2 linked regions of the Arabidopsis thaliana genome follow. The protein of the gene in region 2 purifies or fractionates together with the protein of the main gene of each other region. This does not show direct contact. Each region holds a gene or a part of one and is shown on either strand. Other genes may lie near its edges.

The links.
Region 1: the proteins of AT2G46520 (region 2) and XPO1A fractionate together in Arabidopsis thaliana (co-fractionation; one large-scale study listed by BioGRID). This does not show direct contact.

Annotation. Positions count from the first base shown.
Region 1 is NC_003076.8:5,587,146-5,603,109, reverse strand, and holds XPO1A (exportin 1A), read right to left. Parts: upstream 8,479-15,964; 5' UTR 8,207-8,478; coding exon 8,108-8,206; intron 7,577-8,107; coding exon 7,460-7,576; intron 7,380-7,459; coding exon 7,287-7,379; intron 7,193-7,286; coding exon 7,121-7,192; intron 6,966-7,120; coding exon 6,858-6,965; intron 6,787-6,857; coding exon 6,704-6,786; intron 6,580-6,703; coding exon 6,441-6,579; intron 6,358-6,440; coding exon 6,289-6,357; intron 6,204-6,288; coding exon 6,126-6,203; intron 5,958-6,125; coding exon 5,895-5,957; intron 5,802-5,894; coding exon 5,757-5,801; intron 5,617-5,756; coding exon 5,509-5,616; intron 5,376-5,508; coding exon 5,277-5,375; intron 5,137-5,276; coding exon 4,936-5,136; intron 4,783-4,935; coding exon 4,723-4,782; intron 4,461-4,722; coding exon 4,350-4,460; intron 4,075-4,349; coding exon 3,977-4,074; intron 3,839-3,976; coding exon 3,730-3,838; intron 3,435-3,729; coding exon 3,369-3,434; intron 3,277-3,368; and 27 more. Other genes in the region: AT5G17010 (Major facilitator superfamily protein), read left to right, coding at 10,778-10,828, 11,292-11,389, 11,702-11,780, 12,070-12,129, 12,271-12,337, 12,438-12,562, 13,136-13,237, 13,353-13,721 and 6 more. UniProt on the Arabidopsis thaliana protein: Receptor for the leucine-rich nuclear export signal (NES). Binds cooperatively to the NES on its target protein and to the small GTPase Ran in its active GTP-bound form. Required for the maternal-to-embryonic transition and during gametophyte development.
Region 2 is NC_003071.7:19,088,696-19,106,067, reverse strand, and holds AT2G46520 (cellular apoptosis susceptibility protein, putative / importin-alpha re-exporter), read right to left. Parts: upstream 9,656-17,372; 5' UTR 9,202-9,655; coding exon 6,283-9,201; 3' UTR 6,281-6,282; intron 6,194-6,280; 3' UTR 5,695-6,193; downstream 1-5,694. Other genes in the region: ARF11 (auxin response factor 11), read right to left, coding at 1-20, 93-177, 277-429, 508-663, 744-956; AIB (ABA-inducible BHLH-type transcription factor), read left to right, coding at 13,181-14,881; SDH4 (succinate dehydrogenase subunit 4), read left to right, coding at 15,600-16,055.

The sequences.
Region 1 (15,964 bases), on a different chromosome or scaffold from region 2:
ACGTTTTATGCTATCTTAATATTTATTGTTACGTGTCAATAATTTAATTTAGATGGCATTTTCGTTTTCATAAATTAAATAGTTGTATTTATTTAATTTAGTGGTAGTTTTATTTCATATGGGGTAACAAATAAGAGTAAAATAATGATGACTAAATTCAAAGTTTTGTTTGATAAAATTGTCAAAGCACACTTTAAAGTGGACGATTTTAATGAGAAACATCACCACAAGTCAATCTTACAATTTTAAACCCCCTAGGGGGTGACAAAGATAGAGTCTAAAAAAATATCTTGCACCTAAAACACGAATCACTGAGTAATAGAAACAAACCCCCAAAAAAAGGTCAAAGCAAAAAGGAGCCAACCATATGAGATAACTAGAGAAGGTCCCTAATGTTTAAATCTACATTAAACCCAATTAATTAACCAAACAAGACACTAATTTATCCCCAAAAAGATCTCTGTTTTCTTAGCTTTTCCAATCCTCAAAATCGAATTGAGAAGCTTCGGAATACGGTAGTAGAGATACGGTCGGGGAAATTAATCTCTCCTTGAACTCTTTCCTGTTTTCAAAAACCTATGATTACAAAAAATCCAGCCCATTGAACACAGGAAGCTTCTTCTTGTTGCACCCTTCTTAATTTTATGAGTCCACCATCTCGTCTTGAATCTCATTAGGAGCAATAAGCCCAGGAATTGAAAGCATTCTTTGACGTTCTCTCTCTCTCTGTGCAGCTGCTTCCTCAGCATAGAGATCTTTGTTATCCTGAAAAATAAGTATTCAACAAATTGGCTTCGGCTATTTGGTTTTGAGTTCTTAAAACCAATTTGAATGGCTTTTGCGAAAGACAGGTTAAGTACCTGAGCGGAAAACTCCTTAGACTGTACAAGGAAGTCACGAATGTTATTCTTAAATCCAGACGGGTCATTTCTAGACTCGTATAGTCCATTCACAAATTGTGTGACCTGTATTATTTGTTGATATCAATATATCAGGATACGAAGTAAAAAACCAACATGAAAACTGTGAAAGTGAAACTTCTGGTTTTAGTTTTTATTACCTCTGCTGCAGTCATGTTTGGGAATGAAGAGCTCAGTAGCTTAATGGTGTATTCGCGAACAAATGCAACGTTGTCCGGATACGGGTAAGGAACGGTTGTAGCATCCCACAAGGGTTCTGTCAAAGCACCGCTCTCAGGCTGAAATATATAATTATCAAACGGCTAAGTGCATAGAACTACCCATTCCCAAGTAAATGATTACTTAAGCTATCAAATAAGAAACAACAAGAGAAGAGATGGTTTTACCAGGCAAAACAGTTGCTGCAGCACCAACACATGTAGCTTGAAGCCAGGCTTATGGAAGGTATCGGTCAAAACGGCAAATATTTCTTGCTCGATTTGCATAAAGTATGACCGGTAGAATTGATTACAAAATTCAGATTGCTGTCACAATCAGAGTAAAGTGTTAGAGCAAGCGTAATATATGCCACAACCACTGAGCTAAAAGAAGGAAAATAAACACCAAACCTGAAAGTTTTTCAGCATCTCAAGCAAAAGATTAAGCCCGGTTTCAGCAATATTTCTCTCAGTATGTCTAAATGCCCAGATAATTGAATCCATCACTAGCTTCAGTTGCTGTTGCAAAATGACGATACAGTAAGAAACAGAAGCAAATAATGAGAGAAGGCTTAGAAAGAAGGTCAAACGACTTTTCAATCACGTAAAAGAATAATATATGCAAAAACGTAATCACTAACCGGACTTGATAACTTTATCAAGGCAGGGAAACAAAACGTAGCAATAGCACGGAGTAATGAGAAAAACTTGAGGCGGTGTTCTGGATAATCTTCAAAGTTCTTAGTTATCATCTGCAATAGGATGAATAAAAGGTGTCAATAAAGTATACAAGGCATAAGAACGACCGCCACGCAAGTCTTTCATCCCGTCAAATACACACAATCCATAAAATCTGTTACCTCCAATGTACACTGGAATACAGCTTCAAATATGTGAGGCACGTCGTCTAACATTGTTGCCTTGTACCTGAAAGAAAAAAGTCAAAATAAAATATTGCAGCATGGTAAACATCTGCCCAGATCTTCCAACCTTTTCACAATTACAGTTAATTTATTAGGGCACACATCAACAATAAGAGGCATACTTGTTTATAATCGTTGCAAAGAGTGAAAGAACTTCGGATTCCCTAGCATCAGGCACATTCCTCGCATAGTCACCAAGTACTGATTCCATCATTGGCGGCACAAATTGTTTCCCTATGTGTGGCTGGTCTTCAGCTTTGTCTAAAAAGGTTTCTATCAGCTTAAGTGTTTCCCTCTTAACCGATCTGTATAGCAAAGAATCACAATACAAATTATTCCAGTTTTTCCAAACAGAGGCATCTAGAACGTTATTTCTGGTGCATAAAGCCATCCAAACCTTAAGAGTTTTACAAAAGATGTCTTGGAAGCATATGGTCCTCCCTCAGTAATGTTGGTTGACACAAGCTCACTGTACATTCTGGTGCAGCCATGGAAAAAATAAAATGATCATCCACGTAAAAGAACTAGAGAAAGAGAACCATGACTATTAACGCTATAAGGATGCATCATGGATTTACCTGTATACATTCAACATATCCAAGAAAATCAAGGAAATTTGGGATAAGAAGTATGTTCCCAGTGAAGTAGCAGCACTAGTATTAGTCTGCAGGGAAAAACACATGTTATTAGTTGGACCTTACAATCAAACCAACAGTTGTCTAAACACCAACAGATGCACAATCTTAACTACTATAATGACATGAATTCACGTGATGGAATCATAATGCATTGTGAGGAATAGGTAAGAAATCAGACCTGTAGGATGTTTAGCACTGTACGTATCACAACTTGATCCTTGAGGAATTCTACACTGTGGCGTGCCTGTCCTATGATTTCTGCCCATTTCTACATTGTATAGGGGAACAATTTTAGCCAGATATGTAAACAAAAATAGCCACATTTTAATTAACATACCTGGTTGGGGAGTGCCATCAACCTCTGGAGATATTCATCTCTCTTCTGAGGATCTGATTCTGCTTGGATCATATTACCAACCTGGAGAAAAGAGAAACGATGAGATCACAACAGGAAAATTTGCTCTGATTGGCATGCGAATAATATTTCTGGAAAACTTACTGATTCATAAAATGAGTGTATTTGATGAGGCTCAAGATCTTGAACAGTTGTTGCAAGGCCTGTTAGAAGTTCAGATACAAATGGTTCATTCTCTCCAACCTGAAAGAACAACGAGCTGTAATTAATATCTCATTCAGAAGACAATGGATATACTAAAACCTAACGGTGGATAAAAATACAGCAATACATACCTGTACAATAACGAATTTTCGCTTGCACTTTTGAACTATTTTCAAGAATGTATCACAGGCCATGTCCTGAAAGGGAAACATAAGTATCAAGTATCTGTGATTGGGAAGGTGCAAGGTCTATAAATCTATGAAAGAATATTCAGTCAAAAAAGAGACTTCAGATAGCTTGAGACGATTATAAATAAACTACAGCACCGTAATTAACAACTTGAGCATATTTTTGCTACCAATATATTCTCCAAGAGCTTAAAAATATATTATTCATGGATTTTAACAGCGAATAACACATCATTTTATCTGAGATTCCACCTGGAAAACTGTATCTCATAATATATAAACTATAAAGATTGGGACCAGCTACCTGAACACCAGGATGTGTTTCATGCATGAATTCAAACAACTTGTTCACAACTGTCTTCAAAAACTTCCAATGGGCCCTTAAGAATCTTGGATACTGGCCAACGACATACCTGCAACCCAGCGACAGCAGAACAGAGAGGTCATACTTAACCAAAAAAAATCTAACATCGCCTTGAAAGAAATAGAAAATATAAGATGATAGAAGTACAACAACCTAGGCAGAAATTCAGCTGTAGTAACAAACTTACATGATGTTGCTTGCAATAACGGCTTTATTGTCTTTTCCCTTGGTAATTTCACATAAATTCAACAAATCACGAATGACCATCACCAAAAACCTGTTTTCCTGAAGAAAAAATGGAATTTAACAATTGTTAGCACAGAATTAACAATGTAAACCTTCCAGAGCAAAGTATGGAGCAGTCAGGCCGATAATGATATCTCATGAAATGGGAGGTTAATGAAAGAAACAATTAACATTGAAGGTTGACACTGTCAAACTTTCTTGAATTAAGTTATGGCATACTAGCCCACAGATGGAGAGGTGCAGCATTACAAACAAGAACTTCTACGGTTATGAAAAGAATTTGCAGTCAGGTGAAGCATAGCAAAAGATTTTACCTGATCTTCTGCCATAGATCCGGAAATAGACCCAATAGCCCAGCACAAAGTGTTCAAATTGTTCCATGCCCATTCCTCCCCACTTAATTGTTTGTTTAGCTTCCTCAACATCTTTTAAAGGAACAATCCGAAGTTCACATCAGCAAAACAGCATGGAACAGACCAAAGTAAGCTTACATATCTACCAGAAAATCTCATATCTTATAACAGGTCCATGTTAAAATTGCTAAAGTTAGCAGTACTAATATGATAATTCACACTATAACAAGGAGAAACTCATTTGATAAAAAGCATACTTGATCATAAGACTGCTAATCCTCAATATTTCACAAATTAATACGCATAGACCGGTATCATCATGGTGACACTGTACCTGCTTCTCGGTATCATCATGGTCAAGGTGTGAGAGGTAGATTAATGTCTCCCGCATTATCTGCATTTGTTCAAACAAGAAATGGGGAAGAAATCAAAGAGGATATCCAAAGAGGATTCAAATAAATAAAAAATTCCTTGTATAACATCGCACTGTTGGTATATATCTAAGACATCTGAAGAAAAGCAGTATGAACTGGACAAGAATTGATACCTTATATTGGACAAGAACATCATTGTCCTTCATGGTTTCACGAACGATGTTCCCATTTTCATCTTCAACAATAAGCACTTCTTCAGGCTTCGCCATGCGGTTAATCATTAACCCTCTTAATTTGGACATTGGGTGAGAATAAAGTTGACGCCGCTGCATGACTTGAGAACCAAGGCCATCAACCATACCAGGAAGGAAAGGCTGGGAAAATTGCAAGTCAACGCCCAAGGTGAGTAACCAAATCAAAGCAAGGAAAGTTTAACCAATACAATATATAACTATAGTATCAACCTTAAATAAATGTAAAAAATTGATCATATTAGTCAAGGAATCCAACGTACCTGCAAACCCATCAGGCTTGCACTTACTGCAGGGTTATCAGAATTATGATGCGCATCAAATAGCTCCAACACCAACGAGTTCCAATAGTCCAAACAAACCTGCTCAATCCACAAGCAAGCAGAAAACGTCATCTTTCAGACACGAACAAAAGCACATAAGAATATAATTAAGGAAAAAATTAACATACAACTCTATCAACAGCAATCATATTAACAAAGACAATTTAGGTACCTTAAATACTTCAGTGTCGTCAACATAAGATATATTAATGAGATATTCTAGACCAGCGAGTAACAAAGAGACAACTTCTGGCGTTGATTCTAGGACTCGAATATGAAACTGCAGAGATAGTAGTGAAATAGTTAAGAAATAGATGATGAAACAATAATTACTGGAAGCATTAACACAAATCATTATACATATCAAAATTTCCATAAACCCAACATGAGATATCTAACTCAACAAAGAAAAATAATTACCTTGAAAAAGGAAGTGAAAAATAGTGCCAGGTTCTGGATAAATGCCTAGAGGTGACACATAAAATTCCGAGTCATAACCTTGATAAGTTATTCAAATGAACGATCTACCTTAAAACCAAGCGTGCAGAAAATACTTACTTGTTCTTCACCACTTCCACTGGAATATGCCTCAGGGATCTTTGTACTCGGTGGGAGAATTATCTGCAAGTACGAGAACAAGTGTAGACCATCAGGCAAGAAGCCAAGACAAACAAGAAGCAGACCAAATTCACTACTTTAACTTAATAAGAATGAAAGAAAAATCATTCTTAATAATACAATGAACTAAAAGACAAAAATAAATAAATAACAAGAAGACGATTAATTTACCCGCAGCTGCCCTATAAATATGGTATACATTTTGACATATTGAACATTGTAGAAGTCCCCGAAATTAAGAGCTGCGACCTGATCGACAAAATTCGAGCCAATAGAGAAATAAATAATACATTCAATTAACATTAGGAAAAACTGAACTTAAAAACTGAGGTACCTCGGTCAGACATTGAATAGTGAGGTTCCTATATGCTGGCACAGGAAAAAATTTAAGGAGGGTCTCAAGCTGTAAATAACCAGAGCAGCTATCAGAAGAACATATTGTGGTACCAATTAACATCAATCTATAAATTATTTGAAGTCTATTACCAAAGTAGACTCAAAAATGTAACCCAATGGAATCCAGGAAAGATAGGCATGCAATGCAGACAGTGTTGCACGTATAAGATCCTGTCTTTGAGAAGCTGAGAGGACATATAGGCATAACTCATGAATGAGTTTAAACTCACTGCACATAAAAAAAGCACAAATAGGTAAATAATGAGATACAACGTCACTTAATCAACATATACACGATAATAAAGATTGAAAACTAATAATTACTATGCTAAAATTGAGATTCTCAAATAGACCTGTTTAGAGATTGTTTCAGCTCTTTAATCTTCTGCTGAGTCATTTCTCCTCTTGAGAAATCAAAAACCTCTTCACTTAGGAGCTAAATAAAGGAAGAAAATGTTTAAAATATTCCAGTGAGAACTGATTATGATATCATGTAAAGATTCTTACTTTCAAAATGGCCATGCAATTTTCGCAGATAGTTTCGCTAGTTTTAGCAGCTGCAACTAGATCAGGAATGAAGCTTGTCCACTTTGCCGGCCAATCATGTTTCACGATCTGTGCATTTATCACAACATATGTTATGCCAGAAGATAAAATAAGTCTACGGGTTGGAATGAAGTTTGTAAGTATCAGCTACTGAAACCAAAGAGACAAGAGAAGTGCAACTAATAAACGCATTGAATATTATTATCAGGGAGTGCTGAATATACCTGGACCAAAATGACATTTAGCTTGTTGACATAGAGCCTTTCTGATCTGAAAGATGCTTCATTACTCGAGAGCTACAAGGTAAACTCATTATCAAAACAGTTCTGTTAACTAAGCTTCCCAGTTATATCCAGAGAACAAGGTAATAAAGCCTCCAAAAGTATATACCTGTACAATAACCTCTGAGATGTAATTTTTCATTCCATCTCGTTGTTCAACAGGCAGTGCATTCCATCTATACTTTATAACACCTTCTAGAACCTGAGAGTGGATGCCAAAAAGAGTAAAGTATCTCAACAGAACAGTTTTAATTTACAACTGCATAAGGAACTAAAACTGACCTGCAGAGCAAAGAACTTGGTATCCAAGCTGTTTGTATTTTGTAGAATGTGGACAACTTGAAGCCACATATCTGGATTAGCCTGCAAATCCCGCAAAATCTGGTCCGCAGCAGCTCTCTGAATATGTTTCGGGAGCAATGCCGATTAGTTCAAGGTAAAAACTAAAATACAAATGAGGTGAATGTTGACATTGAAGCAGAAGTATAAGAAATACGAGATTCGGTAATCAGAAAATTAAACAATCATAGCAAAATTATCTTTTTAAGTGATGCTATTTCACTGCCAGATGAGCTCAAAGACAGAGGATAAAAATTACAAGTATGATTGGAAACAGTGAAGCGACAAAAGAACAAGGGACTTAATTCACCAATCTCGAGTCTCAGTGAGCAACTAAACCATTGTAATTCAATACATTACTAAAACTCTAGGACCCTAAAAATCCAAATTGAAAACTCGAGCTGCCCGAAACAAGCGTCTTAAGACAAAGATGTATCAGAGTGCTAAAACCCTAACAACGAAACGCTCCTAATTCCTACTCCTCACACCCAATCGAGAAGAAGACGCTCAAACAATAAAACAGACCCGCGAAATAGACTAATCATTGGTCGAGCCCCTTGAACAAGTCAAAACCCAGAGAAATTGAAGCACCTCTTCTTTAGATCCGGTAACAAAGAAGGCCGCAACAGTGGCATCGAGCACACCGACGTCAATCGGCTGGCTCAAGTCCCTTAACTTCTCAGCCGCCATGGCAGAGAGAGATGTGTCCAAAGTTCGCAGTAGAATCTTCCCGGAGGCTAATCAAACCTCTCCGTTAAGACTATTAACAGTGAACGAGAGAGACGAAAACCCTAGGAGAGAGAGAGAGAGAGAGGGAAAGGGGATAAAAATCTAGAGAGAGAAAGGAGAGGATGGTTTAACACAGAGCGAGAAAAGAGAGGCTTATATATACACACATATATATAGAGAGAGAGAGTTCTCAAAAGACAGCTTAAAATTGACGCAGGGGACGGGGAGAAAACGAGTGACTTTGAAATTTGTTTTACATCTTCCTCTTTCCTTATTATTTTATTAAGGTAACTTAATTAATTAATTTGATTTGAAACTTTATTAGTTTACTAAGTTTTTATGCTGTTTTTTAATTGTTCTGAGGCCTATTTGTAGAATTGAAATTTAATAATTTGTTGAGTTTTTCTGCTATTTCTTGATGGGGACATAAGGAACTTAACAAAACAAAATAGTTTTCAAAGAATTTAATTTACATACATAAAGGAAAAGTTCATCTTCTACTTCTTCTTTTTTTTGTTTAGAAAGAAGGTTTTTTTTTAATGCATCCTTTCTTTTCTTCTTAATAACTAAGCGGAATTAGAAAATCTTGAAATCTAGTTTCTTGATATCCTGATAAACAAATTTAACCACATATACCATTAATTAGTTTTTCTTACTTTCTATAAATTTAATGTTACCAAATAATTTTTAAATATTTTATAAGAATTTAATTTCGCTCCAAATATCTATTTCGCGCCAAATAGATTAGTGACATTAAATTTACAGAGAATAAAACAAACTCACTTTCTAGTGTTTGTGAGAAAAACAATTATCATGGTATTGAGTTATTAGATTTCAAATTAAACTTTGCGCTAAAATCATAATTAAAATCTCACAAAAAGTGTCCAATCTGATATCATAATAAGTTTTCAACCGTTTATATACTCTTTTTTTTTTGCTAAATACATAAATATTGTTAAAATGAGATTTTAGGCGTTATAGAGCAAAACCTACATAAAAAGCAAACGTGACAAAAAAAGAGAAGTAAAAACAAGATTACAATAAAACTTAGCAGCTTACATAAGATTTGGTAAACTTAGTGAATCCAAAAAAGCATCAACCGTTGCCAGCTCTTCCTACTTCTTCTTGAGGTGATGTTGTTGTGAAGCTCCCGATCAGCGAACTTGAAGATAAGAGCTGGTGATAGGTGTTGCGAGTTATGAAGGAGGTTATTTCACTGTCTCCATAGATTGTAAACCACGACATGAGCTTCAAGTTTTTGAAACAAGGACGGAGCCGCAGGGGAAGAGAGATGAGTCGAAGAAAGGAGTTCTACCTAAGAACAAAACAACATTTGACGCGAACACAATCTGCTGAAAACCATTATTCAAATCTGAGAAGAAAACTCACAAACAAACAGTAGATGATCACGCGATTATGTTGCACTAGAAATTTGTTTTTTCTTACTTTGTATTGATTCTAAATAATTTTCAAGTTTATAAAAAATTTCGCGCCAAATATATTTTAGTGATATAGAGTTATTCAGTAAAAATGATATTGATCATATATTTTTTATTATGTAAAGGTCTAAATTAAGATTTCTTTTCTCAACTTAAAATGTTGTTATTAATATTAGGTAATGATATGGATGTAGTCCCAATTACAATTTACCAGGCCAGCCCAATTTATTTGGGAAGGCCTTTTAATGAATTATATATTTTAAATAAAGAAAAAATGATATTGATAAATATATAATTCAATAAATTAATTAAGTTTCCTTTTTACAAGATAATACAACTTAAGTTACAAATTATATTCAAATTAATTAATTAAGTTTCCTTTATATTCAAATTATGTACAAAAAACTTTGTTTTAAAATATTGTTAACAAATACGTTTATGCTGATTTTAAGGGATTGATGTGAAATTTGTTTAGATTAAATTTGATTGATAATGTGATTGACAATTTAAATTAAGAATGTAAAGTAAAATTAATTAGTTTGGAAAAAAGATTTAGTGTTAATAGCATTGGGTTGTAAATAAGTTCAACTCTACGATTTATTTGCTAGAATGACTGCAAAAATATATATATAGATAAAAAATTATCTTCATCTCCTATTTTGCATAAAATGAATTGAATATTATTTAATTTTTTTTCTTCAACTCAAATTTTCCAAAATTTTTCAATTTTTTCGACATATACAACCAGTTGCACCTTTCTTTCGTTCGTAAATCTAGTTACAAAAATTATCAAAAAAACAAATTAAGTTACAAATTTCTTCTGTCAAAAATAAAATAAAATGGAACATTTGATAGCATACTTTATAGTTTATACTAGAGTCAATCCAACGGTTGGTATTGTCGATAGATTAACATTCCAAATTCTGACCGTCATCGTCACCAACCTCCACGTCTATGTGAAGATGATTCAATGTCGTTGAGTGGTAGTAGTTAAATCTTCAAAACCCCGGAGAATTATATATATGGGTTTCGTTCAGCAAACCTAACTAAACTCAGAACCAGAATTCATATTTCGGTCGCTCAAATCACAGCTATGGCGCTTGATCCTGAGCAGCAGCAACCAATCTCCTCTGTTTCCAGAGAGGTATACGTCTCCTTTCATTGTCTACTTCGTCGTTTTGTTTCCTGTTCGATTAAACGGTGTGAGAGAGTTTTCATTTGAAGTATACGTCTCCTTTCATCTGAAGCTTAATTCTCTAGTAAATTCGTACTTCTTGACTTGCCACATTAGGAATGTTCCTTTTGAGATCAACTTTGGCTTTTAGCTGACAAATTTCTGGAAAAATTCTGAAATTTGCTATGTTGGAATCTTAGAGATTGTATTTAAGAGTCATATATTCACTTTTTGGGGACTCGCTTCAATTCTGAGAAGAAATTTAGAGGCTTTTACGGATTTTTAGCCATCAGCCTCACAGTTATCTTTAAGCATGAAATTTTTAGACCCTAAATGCTGTGTACAATTGGTTTGTTGGTTTCATGATTTGTGTGTTCCTTACTGTTTTTTTTTTTTTGGGTGGCAACTTTCTGAAACTGTTTATGCGTTTTAGTTTGGTAAGTCATCTGGTGAGATCAGCCCAGAAAGGGAGCCTCTTATTAAAGAGAATCATGTCCCAGAAAACTACTCTGTCGTTGCCGCCATTCTCCCGTGAGATCTCTCATCTCTTCTCCAAGTTTGGTAGTTCTTAAAATGATTCAAATGAAACACTCTTGAACAATTCCGATGTGTTCTTTGTTTGGTTATATTGTGTATCATTTAGCATAATATGTATCCTGACTAGGAAACTAGAACGCTGTGTATGGTACCTTGCATAGCTTTCAAATAGAATTCCTTATGGAATTACATACCATCTGCAGGAATTTGGACCTATGTCCCTTTGCGCATGGTAGTTTTTTGGTTTGTAGCTAGTCCATTGATGATTGATATATGCATGTTAAGAAGTTTCTGTTTCATTATCAGGTTTTTATTTCCAGCTCTCGGAGGACTGCTTTATGGTTATGAAATTGGTGCAACTTCTTGTGCAACCATTTCACTTCAGGTAAAGTTAAAAGTTGTCTGAAACTATCTAGTCCTACAAAATTTGTTATCATTCAACTTATTTTTCAAGTGCCTAGTCACTGTTTTCAAAGCCTAAATATTATAAAGCTCTGGAAATTGGACTGAGATATCAGTACTGAAACATGATATTTCACACTTGCCAGACCATTTTTTCCCTTTGATTTCTCCTGTATATTGTTGTCACATGCATGTACGTTATTTATATTTGTCTACATTCTTTTAGGAGCCTATGACTTTGCTATCTTACTATGCTGTTCCCTTTTCTGCAGTCGCCTTCATTAAGTGGAATTTCATGGTACAACTTGTCCTCAGTGGATGTTGGTCTAGTTGTAAGTTTCCAAGTTATATGTGATACTTCTTCTTTATCCTGGTCATTGCTTATCATTTATTCACCTGCCGCTCTTGGATATGTGTTTGCCATTTGGAGTAAAGACAAATTTGCTTACAAAATAGTGTTAAATTTTCTCCAGACCAGTGGCTCACTTTACGGTGCATTATTTGGCTCAATTGTGGCTTTTACTATCGCTGACGTTATAGGTTAGTTTTACTTCTCACTATCTTCATTTTGTAGGCATGAGTATTTAGCAATGTTTGCTTGTGGAAAAAGATAAAGTTTTGGTTTTGTTGAATTTGGAAGGAAGAAGAAAGGAGCTGATTTTGGCTGCATTATTGTATCTCGTTGGAGCCCTTGTGACTGCACTAGCCCCAACCTATTCCGTTCTGATAATTGGACGGGTTATTTATGGGGTCTCAGTTGGACTGGTAAGACTGATCATGCTTCTTTATTGTTTGACATCTAAAGACTTTCTTATGCATGCCAATGGCTCAAACGTTATATATTATGCATTTGGCGGTGTACTAAGAATCGCACATCTGTTAGGAGGGGAGCAAATTAATGCTTTATAGGACTTTAGGGCACCCACACTCTTAATTTATAGTGGTGACTACTTTCCAAGGTCTTATAATATTTTAACTTGTTCCCCTCCTAAAGGATGTGGAGTTCTTATCATGTATATAATCAACCTAACTTAACCTTTCCAATGAATCTAACAGTTGATGCAAATATATTTCCATCTATTGCTGAGCATGGGTTGTTATCCAGTGCATCATCATAGAAACATAATTGATGTCTATTCTATGTACATGTATACAGAGTACACATATATTGTGACTGTATTCTTCGTCCTTCGTATTTTTTATGTTTTTCCAGCTTAAAAGCCAGTGACTAGAAATCTTGTTTACCTTTCGAAAATATTGTTTATCCATGTGCTTTTGCTGTGGATTACATATAGCAGTACTCTTGCTACGGGAACTGAATTGTTTCCCTACATTTAGGCAATGCATGCGGCTCCGATGTACATTGCAGAGACTGCTCCAAGTCCGATACGTGGACAGCTGGTATCATTAAAGGAATTCTTCATAGTCCTTGGGATGGTTGTAAGTTCCTGCAACCCTGAGATTTAGGACGTTGATTGCTTTATGTGAAGCAGTTGAGTTGAAATCTTTGTTCACCAAGTTAATCTCACATATCCCCATACAAAATTTTACACAGGGAGGTTATGGAATCGGTAGTCTTACAGTCAATGTTCATTCTGGTTGGCGATACATGTATGCAACAAGTGTCCCTTTGGCAGTTATTATGGGAATTGGGATGTGGTGGCTCCCAGCATCCCCTAGGTGGCTTTTGTTGCGCGTCATACAGGGGAAAGGGAATGTGGAGAACCAACGAGAGGCTGCAATCAAATCTCTCTGCTGCCTTAGAGGCCCTGCTTTTGTTGATTCAGCTGCTGAACAAGTAAATGAGATTTTGGCTGAACTAACTTTTGTGGGCGAGGATAAAGAAGTCACATTTGGTGAATTATTTCAAGGGAAGTGCTTGAAAGCTCTCATCATAGGAGGAGGTCTAGTCTTGTTTCAGCAGGTTGGTATAGTCAAATCTAATCATTGTGTTCTCTTGAAAGAATAATTACTAATGAATTCTTGTCTAATGGCAGATAACTGGACAACCAAGTGTGCTTTATTATGCACCATCAATACTGCAGGTTTTCTTCTTCTCTAAATAAACTTTCTGTATAGTATAATATTGGCTTTGTTGCACTTCGAAACTCACGACTGGATTTTTAACTTCTCCCCCCATCCCACATTTCCTGTTAGACCGCTGGCTTTTCAGCCGCAGGTGATGCAACAAGGGTCTCAATTCTACTTGGTCTATTGAAGGTTTTCACTGTTTCCCACCTGGCTAAAATTTAAGTTACTTTTCCAATGTAATAAAGAAATGCCGTTTTAGTTATTTTGCCTTCAAAGAAATAACACCCGCCTCTGTTGTTGCAGTTGATTATGACAGGAGTAGCTGTTGTAGTTATCGACAGACTTGGAAGGAGACCTTTACTTCTTGGTGGAGTTGGTGGCATGGTATGTCCTCTGTCTTTATCCCTTCCCTTTTCTCATCCATGTTCCGTTTATACACCTTAAGCAAAAGTACAGTAAATTTAGGTCAAGCTCACTAAATGTTCAGCTCAATGATAGAGAGAACCCAATACTCCTAATAACATTTTATTTTCAATGTCAAACAGGTTGTTTCATTATTCCTGCTGGGGTCATACTACCTCTTTTTCAGCGCCTCACCAGTTGTTGCTGTAGTTGCACTGCTGCTTTATGTGGGCTGTTACCAGGTAAACAAATAGTTGATTAGAATTTTGCTAATCAAACTTCACTACCACAATGTCAATGCTTGTCCTAAAAGTATCATAGACTTTTTGATATAACTCGTGGCATCTAAAGTTGGAGTTCTTATAACAAGTAGTTCCATTGGAGTTTATGTACAAAAGTGATTCATGGATTTCATTATTTTCGCCTTAAAACTTTTGATATGCTTCTAGTTCTTTTTTTCAACATGTTTGGCTTTCTACTTTTCAATAAGAGCTTGAACGTATTACCATCAATCTTGCAGCTATCTTTTGGTCCAATTGGTTGGCTGATGATTTCAGAGATATTTCCCCTTAAACTAAGAGGTCGAGGTCTCAGTCTAGCAGTGCTTGTGAATTTTGGTGCAAACGCACTTGTGACATTTGCGTTTTCACCCCTAAAGGTAACCTACCATTCCCTTGAGGACAAAAATTCTCGTTTGTTTAAGCTTGGTATGGCCATTACTGTAGAAATGGTAGCAACCCTTTTGCAAGACTTTTTTACTTTAGAAGAAATTGTCAATCATATGGTTAGTCGTGGTGAAATTCTAGTCGAATGATATCGACACCCACAGTTAGAGTAGTTTTTCTTCTGATATCTAACTGGAACTTTTCGTTTGGCTCAAATGGCTCTGTTTTGCAGGAACTGCTGGGAGCTGGGATACTGTTTTGTGGGTTTGGTGTGATATGTGTATTGTCTCTGGTATTCATATTCTTCATTGTGCCAGAGACAAAGGGTCTCACTCTTGAGGAAATTGAAGCCAAATGTCTCTAAAAAAGAGGTCTGTTCTTTGCTTAGAAACCACAAAGTCGTGTGCTTCCTCACATGATTTTGATTCATATTGTTAATCAGTGAGGAAAATAATAGTGCAGGTTCAGAAACAAATAAACATATGAATCTGCCGCACAAGACGGGAAATGAATCTTCAGAGACCACTAAGTTATTTGAAGCAATGTTACTTCAAAGGCTCGGTTGTTTCTAGCAAAATACATGTACGAGAATTCATAAATACAGAAATCTTTGTAATGATTATTAGCGCTCTGATGAAGTTAGAAAATAAAAAAAGAAAACATCATAGAAGAATTTAAATTTGTAGAATATGTCCTAACCAGTGATGTTTCGAAATCCGAAGGTTTCTCAAAGTTTGTATTTTTTTTAAACGATTCCACGATTCTGCAATGCTGCATTATGATATAGAACATTATGCTGAATAGAAGATATTTTTCGGGATTTGTAAGACTTGATGTGATATAGTATAATGGAACATTGTGGTCAAATACAGTCACTATCCTCATTTATTGGTCACCTAAATCACCGGGAGAATTTCAAAACAGTCCAAACGCAAAAGGTTGAGTTTGACTCTGTGTAAAATGTGACGAAAGGAGAAAAAAAAGAAATGAAAATTTGAAAGTGTCGACAGAAAAAAAAAACGCTTGAAAGAGAAAGTATCAGAAATGTGAACCATGTAATGAGTCATAA
Region 2 (17,372 bases):
TAAATGCCTCCTCGGTTGCCCTATCCAAATAAGACAAAACTTAATAGACTCTTAAAAGAAGCTTTCAGAGACTCTCTTAAAGATTCTGTTACCTCTAAATATATGCTTAAACCTCCATTCATAGCCGTGAAGATCTCTAGCTACAAGTTCTTGAGTCGGTGTAGGTTGTGTCATATCCTAAGTATTGAAAATCAAAAATCAAAACATAAAGTGACAAATTCAGCTAAGAAAGGCCCAAACTCTGTAAAATGAAGATGGAAAGATAAAAGCATTTACAAGTGAAGGTAAACACTCAGTGGCGTGTTTACGAAGAACAGAGAATCCACCATGTGTGCTTGTATCTGAAGCTGTTAGAATCTTCACAAAAGAATCAACCGTTGGTTTAGCTGGTTCTACTAAAGGTGGGTCAAGACTTGTTGGTTCACTTTGCTGCATAATAAAATACACACAAAATCTAAATCAAATTCACTGAATTTATCACATTAATTCAAGATTCTTTAAACTTACATCTTCTTCTGGTTGTAATGTGATCTGAGCGTAAACCTCATCGGTCTCATGTTCTGCTTTTAACGTAACACTAAGAACACGACAAAGTATCTTTGGAGGAAGATTAAACACTGGTATCTCTTGATCAACAACTCCTTGATTAGTCGAAGCAACCAACTGCCAAAAGACAAACATTCAAATCTTAAAACTTGAGAAAGACAAAACAAGGAATAATCTTAAGAGTTTGGATTCTTTACTTGTTCCATGTGACCTTGAGGGAAGTAGAAAACTCTTTCACCATAACGAGGAACTTCCACAAGTGGCCCTGCACAAGCTTTCCATAGCTCCGTGTACAATTCATCATCATTAGACCCTAAATTCCAACCAACAGCTATCAATTTCAACCAAAGTTGCAAAATTTGAAGCTTTATAATAGAAATTATAAGTGGCTCTAAGCTTGTTTGGCTCATGATTAGAGTTAAAAATGTTGACTTTTTCCCAAGAGAAAAAGAAAATTCAAAACTTGAGAAAATTGAAGTCAAAATTTGAACTCACCTGATGTTCTGAAATCAGCTTCCACATTCGCCATCGAAGAAACCAAAAAAAATCCAAGCTTTACAGAAGAAAACAAACACTAACAGGAAACTAAAATCGAAATCATCAAGCTCAAAGCATTATTAACCCATCAAAGAAGAAGAGTCATGAAAGAAGGGTAAGAAGAAAAGGTAAGTAAAGAGCTGAAAAACTCTCGTTTCTTTAACGACGAGACACGACGGTTATGTCTGTATTCATTACACAACATCAAAATTCATTAATACAAAGGCACTCTTTGTGATAAAGAAGAATTGATTAAAATATTTCTCTTTTTTTTTTTCCGGGTTTTCTCTTAAAGCTTTTTCAGTTTCAGTTACGAAACCGCTCCTTCTCTTCCTCCTCTCTATGCCTTTTTGTCTTCCTTCTCATCTTTCAAACTACGTGTCGTTTGTCCATTACCTCACAAACGTCTTGCTGTTTTTCCTTTCCTTTGAAGTATTTAAACAAACGTATGGTCAATTATTGTGAGAACGAATGTGGACCGTTAAAATTAAAGACAACGGTTTTGAGTAGTAGTAAATGTTATGTACTTAAGACTATAGTTAGGTCTCATCCTTCATATGTCTTATCAATTTTTTTCATTCAATAGGCAAAAATAGTTTCTTACCATAATAAGGCGTGTGAAACCAAAAAGAAATTGATGTTTATAAATTGTTCCTTGATGAGTCTCGTTAGATTTGACGATGCCGTTACTTTCTAGCTTGTGTCTGGAACGTGGCAGGCAAACGTGTTGGCTCGTGAATGTACCAGCAGAGATTTTTCCAATCCATCGAACGTTATTGTTCTAGGGCTTTGGAAAGCGTGCGAGATATTTTCTTGTTTTTCTATTTATTTTCACGTGTTAATTTAATTATAACTCAGTTTCGAGTCGATATTTGATCTTCTGTTATATCTATACTTGGGAAATTTTAACTTAAGTTATGTTGGTTAACTATATTATACACTTGACGGAAATAAATCGCTGCAAAAGGAAACTAATTTACTAAGAACTCTGAATAGTATTATTGTGTGTTTGTATCCTGATACGAATCTACATTTTACTCAAGTTGTAAATACTTCAACGCAAAAAGGTAGTTATACAGATAATTAACGTGATTTTAAAATTCGGTAAAGAGAAAACGAACAATAAAAAGTAGAGGACCGTTTGCTTCAAATTGTTGGTTGCGAATATGATCATTTCTTAAAGTGAATGGAAACGCACGGATGGGAATATAAACATTATAGTATTAGTTTTCTATTCTTAATTGCTTCATTAGTGATACACTGGAATTTTCATTTCACAATATTTTTCTATTACTTTTGTTTTAATTGTTACTTTTTGTATATAGTTAATCACTCGTTTAGTCATAAATCATAATCGCCACATCAGTAAATGAGAATAACGAATATTCGTATTGTAGATATGCATGTCTCAACTAATATAGATATCGTCATCGAATTGTTTTTTTTTTTTTGGAAGTGTGGGAGAATGATGTCATGATCGAATATACAGACTAAATAAAACGAAGAAATGTATGGTTATTGCATTGGTGTTTAATAATTAATATAGCTGCAGTAAAGAGAATCAAATGGTTGGCTTAAGTTAACAACACATTCAAGAAAAGAAGATTTGATTCCAACGGCGTATCTACTATCTTGATTACTATTGCACAAATTTATTATCTTTCTACTTAAGAATACTGACTTTTTATATATTTTAAACCGATTTACTGGTTGATTGGACATTACATGGTTTCTTCCACTATTCGTTTTCTATTAGTAAAATTTTATTAGGTTTTTCACTTGTTGGTGGAGGGAGTCAAAGCAATGACACTGTATTCTGTATTAGGTATAGGTGAAATATAAAAATTTAAAAATAATTTAGTACATTCATATAATAATGGTTTTGTATATATTTAATTTTCCCAAATTATCTCATTCATTTTTTTGTCGTAATTATCTCATTCATTTTAATATGCGAAAAATGACCCTTTGGTCCAGGAATCTCAAAAACACTAAACTCATGGACTTTGCTATTAAAAGATAGATCAAAACAAGATTGAAATTCGGATTAGTTATAATATGATTATCTTTGTAAACCATCTGTGCAACGGATCCAATCCATTTATTCGGTTACGATTTAGAGATTAGATTCCATCTATTCTAAAATGCTACTTGTCAATTTACAATTCATAGGAATGCGTTTGGATTCACGCTTTCTTGTTATGGTTTCAGTTTTCAAAAACTATTAAAATAAAACTATATAAAGATAAATACAGCAATAAGATATATATTGGTTATCTTTTTTTTTTTTTTTTTGAGCAACGGATATATATTGGTTATCAAACTTGAATAATGAATGGTTAAATTTTTTTTATTATTATAGGGTGGTGTTAATGTTGAGTAAGGATCCACTTAAAACATATTATAGCAAACTAAAACATCACGTGGACAATAGCTACATCATTTGGCAAGTTCCGACCAAATATGTTGTCGCAGAAAATAATGAAATGCAAGGATTTTAAAAGAGTAATTAGTACGAGGAGACATATGCACGTCTAAAGAGTAAAGACAGTACTCTCTAGCTCTGTCTTCCTTGTCGCTTAATTTCTAGAAATAAAATGCAAATTTTTGGATGCACATGAAGTGTGATCTCACGTACATGCGGCAAGAAATCACGTATATAAGCGATATTAACTATCATTCACTTGTACAACAAATTAATATTAATGGATAATGATACATCAGTTTTAGATATGAGTTTCTTATGGATATACTAAAACATATGGAATATCAAATTTCACATAAACAAATGATGATACATCACTAGAAGAAAATTTCACATAAACAATTAAAAAATATATTTTATCCTGTTTCATTTTTATTAATCATCTAACATTTGAAATCTGATTGCATAGTAAACATGTGTTCCAATATCAATTAGCATCCATTCAAATCCCATTATAAAAACAACATTTAAATCCTCTAAATTAAAGTGTATCATTGAATGGGAATTTCGTATCAAACTCGTCCGTACAACTCCAGCGATACGTGTTATACATCTTGGAGAATCTGTTTGAGATCCATTCTACCGAATAAAAATAGTTCGTACCATTTTCCTACCTATATAATTTACCAATTCAACGGGTCATATATATAATTCATTATTATCGGGAAAAATGAAAATATAATTTTGTTTTATTTTCTCATTCCATGATTGCTCTCTTTTGTGAAATTAACATATATTTGTAGGAAGTGGTGGATGTATAATTATTTTGTTAAATAAGGAAAGGATTCCTAGTACTTGTTTGTGTTTATTTATTACCTTTTTCCAATTTTATTCAAATAAAGGCACCTCACATGTTTGACAAAGGATTGGTCAAGTTTTCATAAAATACTTGGGGGAAAACATTTAAAACTAATCAAAGAAGAAAGCACTCCATTTTTGTTTGTTCTTTCTAATGTGTGATATGGTAGTCGTACATCGTAATGTCTTAATAATCTAACGTGAGTAGACTCGCTAACAAGATGAATCTGATTCTAACAAATCGTTCAACTCGAAACAGATGACTTATGATACATATGAAGTATAATTTTGGAGAAACTGAATTCTGCTATCGAAAACGTTTACCATCTTATATAAAAAAGAAAAAAGAAAAGTACACTCTAACTAGGTCTCTAATTATTGACAACTGTGTTTGAGTGGGTTCACTGAGTTTGAATCTACTTTAAGCCAAATCCACACATACATAAACATAAATTTATACCAAAGTTCAAAAAGAGTCGAAACAAGAAAGTTACGATATATTAACAATGGTTGGTCCACTATAATTTCATTTTCTTATATTATAAAACGAGGGGACCATATGATAAATCACATGATCATATCATATGACACCATCTCTCTCTCTCTTTCTCTCAATGCCAGGACCATGATGGGTCTCAATCTCTATCTCTCCCCATCTCCATTATTTCCCCTTACCCATAACATGTCTCTCATATACAATCTATATCATACAGATAAATAAGATAAATAAAAATGGATACAAAATATGAAGACGAAAACATGACAATCATTGATATCGCCAACGTGCGAGGGCCATATTAGATGGTCACTAGACAATATACCAGCCGAATTTATAATGTTTTGTTATAAAGATTTTATGAATAGTATAAAGTTAAAAAACGTAAGAGTGGTGAGTATGAAATATAGATTACTTACAAGACTTTTGTCGACATCAAATGTTTTCCTACAATAATGATTGCTAGGAAGTGAAAAATAAAAAAAAAGTGCGATTTGTATAACTGGTGGCCTAAGACAAACAAAAAAACTACCATTTTCTCCCTCCTTTATTCATGTGTTGTCAATGACGATATTGTTAATTAAGAATTAGGCAAGAGTTTAGTGGTCATAGGTCCATATGATTAGCACCAACAATCACCTCCTAACCTCTTGTTCCCCATTTCTTCTCTCTCTCTCTCTCTCTCTCTCTCTCTCTCTCTCTCTCTCTCTCTCTCTCTCTCTCTCTCTCTCTCTCTCTCTCTCTCTCTCTCTCTCTTTCACAATTTTGTATCGACAGTACACTCCACTTCTCAACTTGAAAGATTAAATTAAAATTTAAAGCACGGAGTTAAATAAAAACAAATTTCTTAATCAAGGAAGAGATGTTGGCCCCAAAAAAAATGATAATGAAAAATTGACTTGATTAGATATATGGGTCAAACTTCGATTACAGGCCCACGTCGAAACTAGTTCTCCAAATCGAGAAGTTTATGAAACATGCTTGGCTTTCTCCATCTTTAATAACAACCAAAACCATGATGAATCCATGACCAACAGACATTACGACAAAATGCACATAAACACATAGTACCACCATACAGAGATGAACAACATGCTTTGCTTTTAAAGGGAAATCAAGACAAACCCCCCATTTAAATGCGAAAATCAAAAATAAGAAATCCAAGTTTTGGTGGAAGATGATGGATGCTCTTCTCTAATCTAACTTGCACATGCTATGAAACTCCCGATTTTAGGACAAAAATATGCATTTATGACTTGACCACTTGTTCTTCGCAGACGCAATGCAATCCAGTGATGTTGTGTTTCCCTTCTTCTTTCCCCTTTTTTCTCCTGCCAAAAACAGTTTATAATCACCATCAAGATTGATTCCTGAATACGAATCTGAAACCATTCTTCAAGTCAATACAAACACTTTACCTTCAAGCAATTCCACAGTTGTAAGCATTGCAGAGCTGGATCAAAGCTGTTTGGTTTGCTTGTTCAAGATTCTCACCAATTATCTGTGGGTACCTACCAGGAGAAGCAGAAGAAAGCCTCGAAACAGAAGCGACCAAGAACTGTTTTGGGTCCTTGATGTCTTTCAGAGGATCCTCTTCTTTTTTCCCAGCATTGTGGAGTTTCACAAATGCAGCTGTGTATCCAACATTCTCTGAGATTTCTGGCATTTCAGGTTCATCAAGTACCCTTTCTTGCTCAGGCCTGGAAACAAGCGTCACTATGCTATCAAGCATCTTCCCCCAGAGTTTAGCAGCTGATGGATCCAGGAGAGCCGGAGTCTCACATATGAGTCTAGTTGCAGCAACTGCCGTTAACTTGACCTCCATACTCCCCATGATCAGTTTCAGGTTCGGAATCCAGAAATGCTCCACGATAGCAGTGATGATGTTTGGCTGAACAGTATTCATAGTCTCCACTAGATAAGCCTGTCCATGCTTCACCAAGAAAAGCGACATGAATATTACTAGCGACTTCTGGAACTTGACTGTCTTTTTGTTTTGAACGCGTGTGAATAGAGCACTCCATACACCTTTCATGTAAGGTGCAATCACACTGTAGTCCAGATTCTCAATAATCGTGTTAAGGATATAAAAGCCTTGCTCATCCGTGCTAGGAGATGCAACCAGCTTTTCAAATATCCCCAGAACTTGACTCAACCGATTCTCTTGAGTAACCTCATGAGGTGCTTTCTGCAGAAAAGCTTGAAGCAGGCGCACAAGAGCTGGAACATTGCCACTTCTCTTCCATGACTCAGGCGAGAGGAGCAGCAAGAAGATCTGCATGTAGTTTGGTGAGAGAGTTGGTCTATTTAACTCAACAAGCTGAGCCAGCAACTGAAACCCATAAGGCAAGAACTCTGTGATATCATTCGCCAAAATCATCTGGAGGCTTGGGAAAAGACTCGTTTCAAATGCAGATATAAGAGAAATATCACGTTCACATGCCCGTCGAACAAGTACAGCCACAGACTCAAAGAGATAGTGGTTAAATATAGGATTTTTAGGATTTTTGCAAACTTCACTGAGAATAGAGGTCAATCCCCCGATGCAAGGTCCAGCAACCTCAGCACTGATATCAGCAACACCAAGGACCCGCATTATACACTTCATCAGATATTGATTCTCCTCTGATTCTGGGAATTTCAGCGCATCAAACAGGTTTGTCATCAACTGCAGCAAAAAGGGACTTAAATCACCAGCAGCATACCTATTACCCCTTGCGCCTTCCTCCTTCACTAGCAAGAGCTTCTCTATGCAGCTAGCAGCATAAGAGTGGACCACGTTCGACTCTGCTTTAAGGAAACGGACCAACTCTGGGAACAACTGCATTGCAAAGGGCTTTGGTATATGACTACGAAACATAGTTAAGAACTTCAAGGACCCTGCCTTTAGCATTGGAAAGCTGTTGACATCGCGGCTTTGCAGCTCCGGGAGAATAATGTTTGCAAAGAAGTTTTGAACATCAATGAGATCTGTAGACACAGATGCACCCCCTGCCTTCTTAGTAGATAGAGAGACAACCAAGTAAATTGCACAATCCTTATCTTTCCAGTTTGCCGACGGGTTTGCTGAAAATGAACTCAAGAGCCTCTGTATCTCAAGAGAAACTACTTCTGTCACTTGTGTTTTGTAGTTTGTGGCAAGGCCTTTGAGTAGCTCACAAGCTATTCTCCTTCTAGTGTCCACATCACTTCCTTCCATATCTCTACGGATAAACTCAATATAGTTCATCTCGAAAATTTCTTCATCTTCCACCCTCAAAGAAACATTAGGAATCACAATACTTTGGCAAATTTCCTTGATAACATTGTCCCCCGCAAACAAAGCATGGTGAACACTTGTGCTCACAGAGGTCAAGAACTTGATTGCTGTAGTAGCTAGTTGATCTCTGCTAGGAGACTTTGACACATCCCGGAGCAATGTCCAGACAACTGATGCAAACTCATTCAAAAAGCCTTGAAACTCTTCTTCGTTTTTCTCAATATAATGATTGATATTCTCGCAAATAGCAGCGCGAAGATCATCAACAAGTGTTAACCCCTCCTCTGTGCTTTCCAAGGCGGGATAATTTGAAGATAGATACTTCTTAAACTCTCCCATCCACTCCTTCATATGATCCTCGAAAAACTCCGGTAAGTCCTGAAAGTTCAAAGAGTAAAATATTGTACAGCACAGCCTTTGGGACTCGAAGAGAGGCTTCAGGATCGGAGGTGAACCACCAGAGCTCGCAGCAGAATCAATCAACGAAGACGTTTTCAGGAATATTTCAGTCAAAGGAGCAGCAAAATTATCCAGGCAATACTTCAAATCAACAAACAGAGCATCGGTTCTATACTCATAACTAAACTTTTTGAAAATCGAACTAGCGGTCCCAAGAATACCATTGACGGACACATAATCGCCAGCGAGAGCAGCGTTTTGAAGGTTGGCGATAAGCTCAGGAAGCAAAGCAGGCCAAGCTTTGGGGAAATCGTGCTTACCAATGACGGTTAGGGCTTCACTCAACTGGCTCTGGATACGAGGAGAAGCAGAGAGCATAAGAGAGACGATGAGTGTCTTGATCTGCTCCTTCTCAGAATCTACGATCGGTGAGATACCAGAATCACCAGCAGGATGCCATCGCGAACGGAGATGGTTCTTAAAGTTGACAGCAGCGGCGTGACGCGTCTGTTCATCGATTGCTGGCTCAGCCACCAAACGGAGAACGGCTAGGCCGTAGTTAGCCTGATCAGCAGCATCCGAGAGTGCTCTCTCAGCCGTTCGACGAGGCTCCGGTATCGGAGAGAGCGTGTTAAGAAAACATTGCGAAAGGAACACTAGAGTCTCCCGATTCCACTCCATCTTTCTTAGAAAACAACAGAGAATAGGATCGAATCCGAGCTGTTCGATTAAGGTTTCGCCGGGAGAGATGAAGCAGAATGGACCGCGAAGAGAGACGAGAGAGTGGCGATTTTAGGGTTTCTGATTTTTTCAAAAGAGGGAAACGGAGAAGCTTTTTTATTTCAAAGAGATTTACTTTTAGAAAACGGAAAATTCCCCGATGAACGAGCCGGGTTATCGGGTTTTTGGTTATACCCGATAGAGTAAGTCGGTTAAATGGGCTATTGCTCTTTTCTATAAGCCCATAAATATAATGAGCTTTTACTCTTTCCTATAAAATATAAACCCATAACTCTAAGATCAATTAATGCTTTTGTTTTTAATCAAATAGCATTGACATTAATAGGGTAGGTAGTCTATGGTTTCCGAGCAAGAATTTCTGTCGGTAGAATTTCTAGTTTCAAGTCTGTCGGTGCATTTATAATTATACCAACCATATAAATCATCTATTTACGTGTTACTAAAATAAATTATCGAACAAAAAAACAGAATCTCGTAACTAAAACGTGTTGTGAAGTTGTGTACGTGAAAATTCGTGTAGTGAACCTAAAAAGAGAGCAAGTCTGAAATAAGAAATGTCGACGTATTCTTTCTTCAAACGTGTCCCAAAGCCGTCAACGTCTGTGACGCTGGTCCAAACGCATCACGTTCGTTTGTCTACAAAACTACAAATATATAAAAAAGGGTTTGCAAACAAGAAAATGAGTTTCTTAATTAGTCAAATAGTTATTGCTTTGATGACGTATTTTTCTGTTTTGTGCTTGATTTTGATGTTAAAGCCAGACGAGTCATACTAATATTCAATTGCACATGAATTTCTCACCTCGAACTAAATTTTGTTGCCAAGTAACTCAGCTTGTTTTCTTATTGTATCATTTGGTATTTTGGCTAACCAAACCCACTAGTTAAGTTAGCGTTAGCATTTGTCACACGTGAGACGTGTGAGATTATGATAAACAAAGAAAGCCACGTGGCGCATGATGTATTTTTGCCGTACTTTTGAATATAAAGGTTAAAAATGTCGACCTCATGTGGCCCATTGAAGCCCACGAAAAACGCGTGATATATAAAGAAGAATAGAAGATGAGTTGCGTAAACAAAGCGACTTATTTAGCCCCTTTGTTCCTAACCGAATTTTCCCAAGTAACACCACTTTGCAACATTAGTTTTACACATATTGGTAGCTTTCGAAGAAAACATACGTTGAATGACAAAATATATAGTACATATTAACATATATATACTCCCACGGTTCCTTTATACAAATATGTTTTAGAAAAACAAACTTGTTTTAAGATTTTATGCATGTTTTTCTATGTAGTTTTTAAAGTATAGTTTTCGAGAAAATATAGAGGTATATAAATGAACGGTAACACTTTTTTTAATAAGAAATAGTGATACAATATAAATTTTAGTACCTATATTATGAATTCACAATAGAGTCGGTTTTGTTAACTCGTTTTTATTTTTGGCTTATTTTCCCTACATTTTGTTGATAATCATTCAAGTTATATATCCTTTACACTTCTCAACTTATAAATGGATAGACGCGTTTATAATTGAGAAAAAGAATGCGAAATTGATAAGCTGCTCAAATCTTCTACAACTTTTCATCTACGAAATGGTTAGACGCGTTTTTCGTTAGAATAGAGAAAGAGAATGCGAAATTGCGAGGACAAAAGAAGTGAAACACGACAAATCATTTTTGCAATTTACGTTTTCAAAAGGCATATGAGACAGGAGAAGTTATTGTCTGCAATAAAGACCACCGTAGTCACGAGTGTCTCCACTTGACCCCACATTTTCCCTATCATTCGCTCTCTGCCATTCGATTATTGAGCCCTACTCTTATCCGTTATTGTTTTTTTATTCTCGTTGCATAATCTCACTAATGTATATATAACACTCGTTTGAATTTTGTTAAAACTATTTTGTTTTATTTTATATAAAATTACCGAAATTCAATCTACAAATTCAAATTTAAATTAGGTTCTCTACATATCTTAAAAAGATAAATAAGTGAAATTCATAATGATAAAGCCAATTTTGTTTTGTAACTATTATTAGCTTCTTTTTTCTTTTTTTTGAAGCAATGTATCTAATCTATTCTCTTCTAACGAAAGAGTATTAATTATTATAGACAAAAAAAAATAGTATTAAACAAGCCTACGCAAAACACGTTCAGTATTAGGTTATAGTTTTTAGTACTAATTAAAATATGAGATATGAGTTTTTTTGTTCTATTAGAACTTAAGAAGATAAAGAATTTATAAGTTGGTGCGACTCCGAATTACTCAAAAGACACCAATCATCGCGTTATCATCCTAATCTACAAAACAAGAGGTCAAATTTTGCATGTCACGTCACAATATTGTACATTATCATCACGTTTTTTTACAAAGCTTTAGTATATCAACGTATACATTTCAATGTACGAGTTTTCATTGTACTATCTATCCCTAAGTTTGAATTAGGTTTATCGAATCTCTTTCTTTATTTATATGCAAATTTTAATGATGTCATTTTAAATTATTATAAGAAAATATCCCCATACAAAACATGGTGAGGCTTATCTCATGCGATAATACTTTAAAATAGGTTATGAATATAATCATGTAATTATAAAAAAAGTTTTTAATTAATGGGGAGAAAACAATTAGAAAACTACAAACACATGATGATAGAAAAGTAGGTTAAAAGTCCATCACATGGTGCTCTCTCACAGAACGAGACCCTTTTTGTTGAACGTTACTGTTGGGCATGAGATTCACGCAAATCCTATGCGACAAATAATTTTCTTTCCATAAAAATCTAAATAAAGAAAGAACGTACCATTTTTTATATCGAAGTTAAGGACTATATATATACTATTGATAAGAATAATATACTCAGACTATACTATTAATTAAATGGACCCACGTTAATAACGATGTCTGAAATAACCAAAACCCCACCAGACAATTCAGACAATATTTCTTTGTTTCTTTATGCATGTGAGTTATTTTTATTGGTAGAGAAAAAAATAAAAACAAATAATTAATTTAGTACTATTTAGTACATAATAAATTTTAAAATATTTCGACCATGTGATCTATACTTCTTAAGTACATTACTATAATTTGAATCTCTCACGTAGGTACATACACACGTGTGTACACAAAACACTATTTTCTCTAAAATTTACCAAGTGCAAATATCGTTGTTTCACTAAAATCACCATCAAGTATGTATTACTTTTACGAAATTAATCGGATTTGGAGACAAATTCAAAGACTAGCCAGATTTAGGGGTGAGATAATCCATTTGCAAAATAGATTTGAAAAGAGATTTTAGATTTTCTATCTTTATTCGGAGAGAAACAATCAAAGTAAGTGAACTTAAAATCAGGAAACAGAGTTAATAATCAGAGTAATTATTAACCATGGTTAAGTTGAATAACCAAAGTAATTAACGTGCATAAGTAACCATGGTTGGGTTTTTAAAAAGAGCTTTCATACAAACTTCAATTACCCCAGCAAGTCTTGTCTCCTTCTCTCTCTCTCTCCCTCTCTAACTGTATCTTCTTCTTCTTCTTCAACCTTCAGACTTTTCTAGTTGCAACTCTCATTCAATTGTTCAATTTCTCTGTAAAAATCAAAGCTTTTTGGAATCTTTCTTCGGCGAGATATTTCTTCACCGGCGCAAGCTTCTCTTGAGCGTGATTCATCACTGGGTTTGCATTTTTTCCTGGTGGGTATTCTTCAAATTGTTCAAAGCTCCGACCTTTTCTTCCTTAGAATCTGATTACTGGAATCTTGAAGCTGGAGAGACTCGAGTTTATATGGTTTCAAGCATCGTTGAGTCAATCATTGAGTTGTGTAGAAGAAAGGTTTGGTTTTCTTCTCCGTTTAAGTGGTTTTGGGTTTGGTAGGATTTGGTGTAATCTGGGAGATAAAGAAAGATGAATATGAGTGATTTAGGTTGGGATGATGAAGATAAATCGGTGGTTAGTGCTGTTTTAGGGCATTTAGCTTCTGATTTTCTTCGAGCAAACTCTAATTCGAATCAGAATCTCTTTCTTGTTATGGGAACTGATGATACTCTGAATAAGAAGCTCTCTAGTCTCGTTGATTGGCCAAACTCGGAGAATTTCAGCTGGAACTACGCTATTTTCTGGCAACAAACCATGTCTAGATCCGGACAACAAGTCTTAGGTTGGGGAGATGGGTGTTGTCGAGAGCCTAATGAGGAAGAGGAATCAAAAGTTGTTAGGTCTTATAATTTTAACAACATGGGGGCAGAGGAAGAGACATGGCAAGATATGAGGAAGAGAGTGTTGCAGAAGCTTCATAGGTTGTTTGGTGGATCTGATGAAGACAATTATGCTTTGAGCTTAGAGAAAGTTACTGCTACTGAGATTTTCTTCTTAGCTTCCATGTATTTCTTCTTCAATCACGGTGAAGGCGGTCCTGGGAGGTGTTATTCTTCAGGGAAACATGTGTGGCTCTCTGATGCAGTTAACTCTGAGTCTGACTATTGTTTCAGGTCTTTTATGGCGAAATCTGCGGGAATCAGAACGATCGTTATGGTTCCTACTGATGCTGGTGTTCTTGAGCTTGGTTCTGTTTGGTCTTTGCCTGAAAACATTGGCTTGGTTAAGTCTGTTCAAGCTTTGTTCATGAGGAGAGTTACGCAACCAGTAATGGTGACTTCAAACACTAACATGACTGGAGGGATTCACAAGCTTTTCGGGCAGGATTTGAGTGGAGCTCACGCGTATCCTAAGAAGCTCGAAGTGAGAAGAAACTTGGATGAGAGATTCACTCCTCAAAGTTGGGAAGGCTATAATAACAATAAAGGTCCAACATTTGGTTACACACCTCAGAGGGATGATGTGAAAGTGCTAGAGAATGTGAATATGGTTGTAGATAATAACAATTACAAGACGCAGATTGAGTTTGCGGGATCATCAGTTGCTGCTTCTTCGAATCCATCTACAAACACTCAGCAAGAAAAATCAGAATCTTGTACAGAGAAAAGACCAGTGAGCTTGTTAGCAGGAGCAGGAATAGTTTCTGTTGTTGATGAGAAGAGACCGAGAAAGAGAGGGAGAAAGCCTGCAAACGGAAGAGAAGAGCCATTGAACCATGTGGAAGCTGAGAGGCAGAGACGCGAGAAGCTTAACCAAAGATTCTACGCTTTACGATCAGTTGTTCCAAACATTTCTAAAATGGACAAGGCTTCTCTACTTGGAGACGCAATTTCTTACATCAAAGAGCTTCAAGAGAAAGTCAAGATAATGGAAGATGAAAGAGTAGGAACAGATAAGAGCTTATCAGAATCAAACACAATAACAGTAGAAGAAAGTCCAGAAGTTGACATTCAAGCTATGAATGAAGAGGTTGTTGTAAGAGTAATCTCGCCTTTGGATTCACATCCAGCTTCAAGAATCATACAAGCAATGAGAAACTCAAATGTTAGTCTAATGGAGGCTAAGTTATCATTAGCTGAAGACACAATGTTTCACACTTTTGTGATAAAGTCTAACAACGGGTCGGATCCATTGACGAAAGAGAAGCTTATAGCAGCGTTTTACCCCGAGACCAGCTCGACGCAACCGCCATTGCCTTCTTCTAGTTCACAGGTCTCTGGTGATATATAAGTTTCACATGATGGTGAAGCTTTTGTCTATTCTTGTTTCAGTATAGATAACTTTCAGGTTCAACTAGAAATAGATAAAATCCTTTTTTCTTTTCTCTTTCTTATAGTGAAAGGAATCCGGTTTAAGTATATTCATTAACTTTATTTAGACCATTGATTCACATATTTGTATCTTGGGAAAATATTTCCTATACTTTAGAAAATCAAATAAAGTATGAAAGATATTTGACTTCTCTTTCTTTGTTATGGATGCTTTATTCAGTTACAATTTGGGATCCATTCTTTTTTTTTTTCAAATAAAGCAATAGTTATAACAAGTTAATATTATCCAATCAATGTTATTCAGGTAAATATTTGATTAATTATCTTGTAGAATGTTCATGTACATTTGAATTTTGAAGTGACCAAATCTTATATATTGGTCATGAATATGATATATTGACATTTCAAGAGACTGAGCTAAAAATTACTTAAAAATGAGAATCAATTATTTTTTTTCCATTGGTCCATTATTTTATGCAATGCAGCACATAATAATCTATTTTGGTTTTGGTTTGGGCTTCTGGTAGTTCTGAAAAGCCCAGTATAAAGCCCAACTCCATTAATGCATCTTCACCTCTACGACGAGAATTGTGCTTCCGATTCATTTCACATAGGGTTTGTTTCTCCGATCAGATCCAATTTCAATCCTTCTCCGTCAGATTATCTCCTCGGCCACGATGTCTCTCCGCCGCACTATCCTCGATCTCCACCGTCAAACCCAGAGAGCCACTCTCTCAAAGTCTCTACCTTTCTCGATGAGTCACATCTCCTCCGCATCCGCCACCGCCGCCGTGAGAAACCCACTGGGAAGAGACCTCTCTTCAATCCCCTTCGCACAAGCCCAGAAACTGAAACCAGATTCAACCAATCTCGTCACCGATCGCTCGATTTCGTCTTCAATTGGGCAATCTGAACTCAACAAGGCAGCCAAATTCTCGCGTCAATCGTCTTCTCGAGGTTACACTAATGGCTCTTTCTTACGCAAAATCCCTGTAGTCTTTCACATACATGAAGGAATGGAAGAGATTTTGGCGGATTATGTTCACCAAGAAATGACAAGGAATTTGATTGTGATGTCTTTGGGATTGTTCCAGATTATCGTTCTTAAAGATATTATCTTGTTTCTTCTCTGAAACCAAGTAAACATCTTTTGGGATCTAAGGAACACTCTCGATCATCATCACCTGTTAATGAATGAATAGTGTGGGCTAAAAAAAAGGTCTTTCCTTTTATCTTCTTTGTTTTATGAATAAGAACTTGATGCAATGTTGCATTTTTACCTTCAAGCTTTTGTTGTGTGTTGTTTCAGTTTCTGGTTTCGTGTATTTGATTCTGTAAGGCTTAAAATGGAATTCTAAGCCTGTTAATCTTTTGATTGAATAATGACAACTTTTCTCAGCTTTGAGGATCATTTAATCACTACGTTTGCATTTCGAATTTAGCTTTACTGTAATCAGAAGCACGAGAGACTTACGTGAGTTTTGCAGTAGAAAAGTTGTGGTTTTTACCAAGTAGATGGTTTGATTATATACAACTTTTGAAGAGATTTTCTGGTTTTGGATTTGGTGTGATCATTATAAAGGTGATGGAGACTCTCAAGAAGTCACAAACAGAGAATTGTCGATGTTATGTTTACTTAGATCAAACATGAGATTTTGAAGATATAAAGCTATCAAATTGAATCTTAGTTAGATGTTCATGAACCTGGTTAAGATGCAACTGGACCAACAATATTCATGTTCCATAGCAGAAAGCCTGAAAGGTTGAATAGAACAAAGGGATATGAAACGAGTTAAAGAAGCGAATTAAAAGGCCCATCTTTTTATCTGTAGGCCCATACGAATTACGATTGTACTGGTTCATTGATTCAAATACTAACTCTCTCCTTATCCGAAGTTTTAAAAGCATCCTAATCCAAAACGGTGAAATAATGACGATTAAAACCCCAAAGTCTCTGGCTTGGTTTCCACTCCAAGGGTAAAATACAAAACAAAATCAACGAAACTGCCGTACACCGTTGACAATAAACAAAGGAAAAGTGTACATTAAAGAAGAAGAAGAAGAAGCTTCATTGTACGCGTCACCTACGCGAACGAGGTGGAGACACGTGTCCTTCCTACCACTTTCCTTTTGAAAAACCTCTCTCTCTTTCCTCTAAACTCTTTTGACCCTTGTTTCGCGAGCTGTTTTGTACGCCATTAGATTGAACCCTAAAAACTCTATTATTGGATTGGATCATCATCGTTAAAGCTCCACGCCTTGTCCCAATTTCCTCTTTGGTTCTTTCCTTCTGGTAAGAATCCGCTCTCTTTCTCTCTTTCTTTTTTCTTCATATGGTACGTCATCGGCGACATCAATTGGCTCGATTTGATTCACCTGTAGCTATCAATCAATCCCTGATCTGTTTAGGTTTGATCTCCTCTGTTTTTTCCTAGGGCTTGTTATTGTTG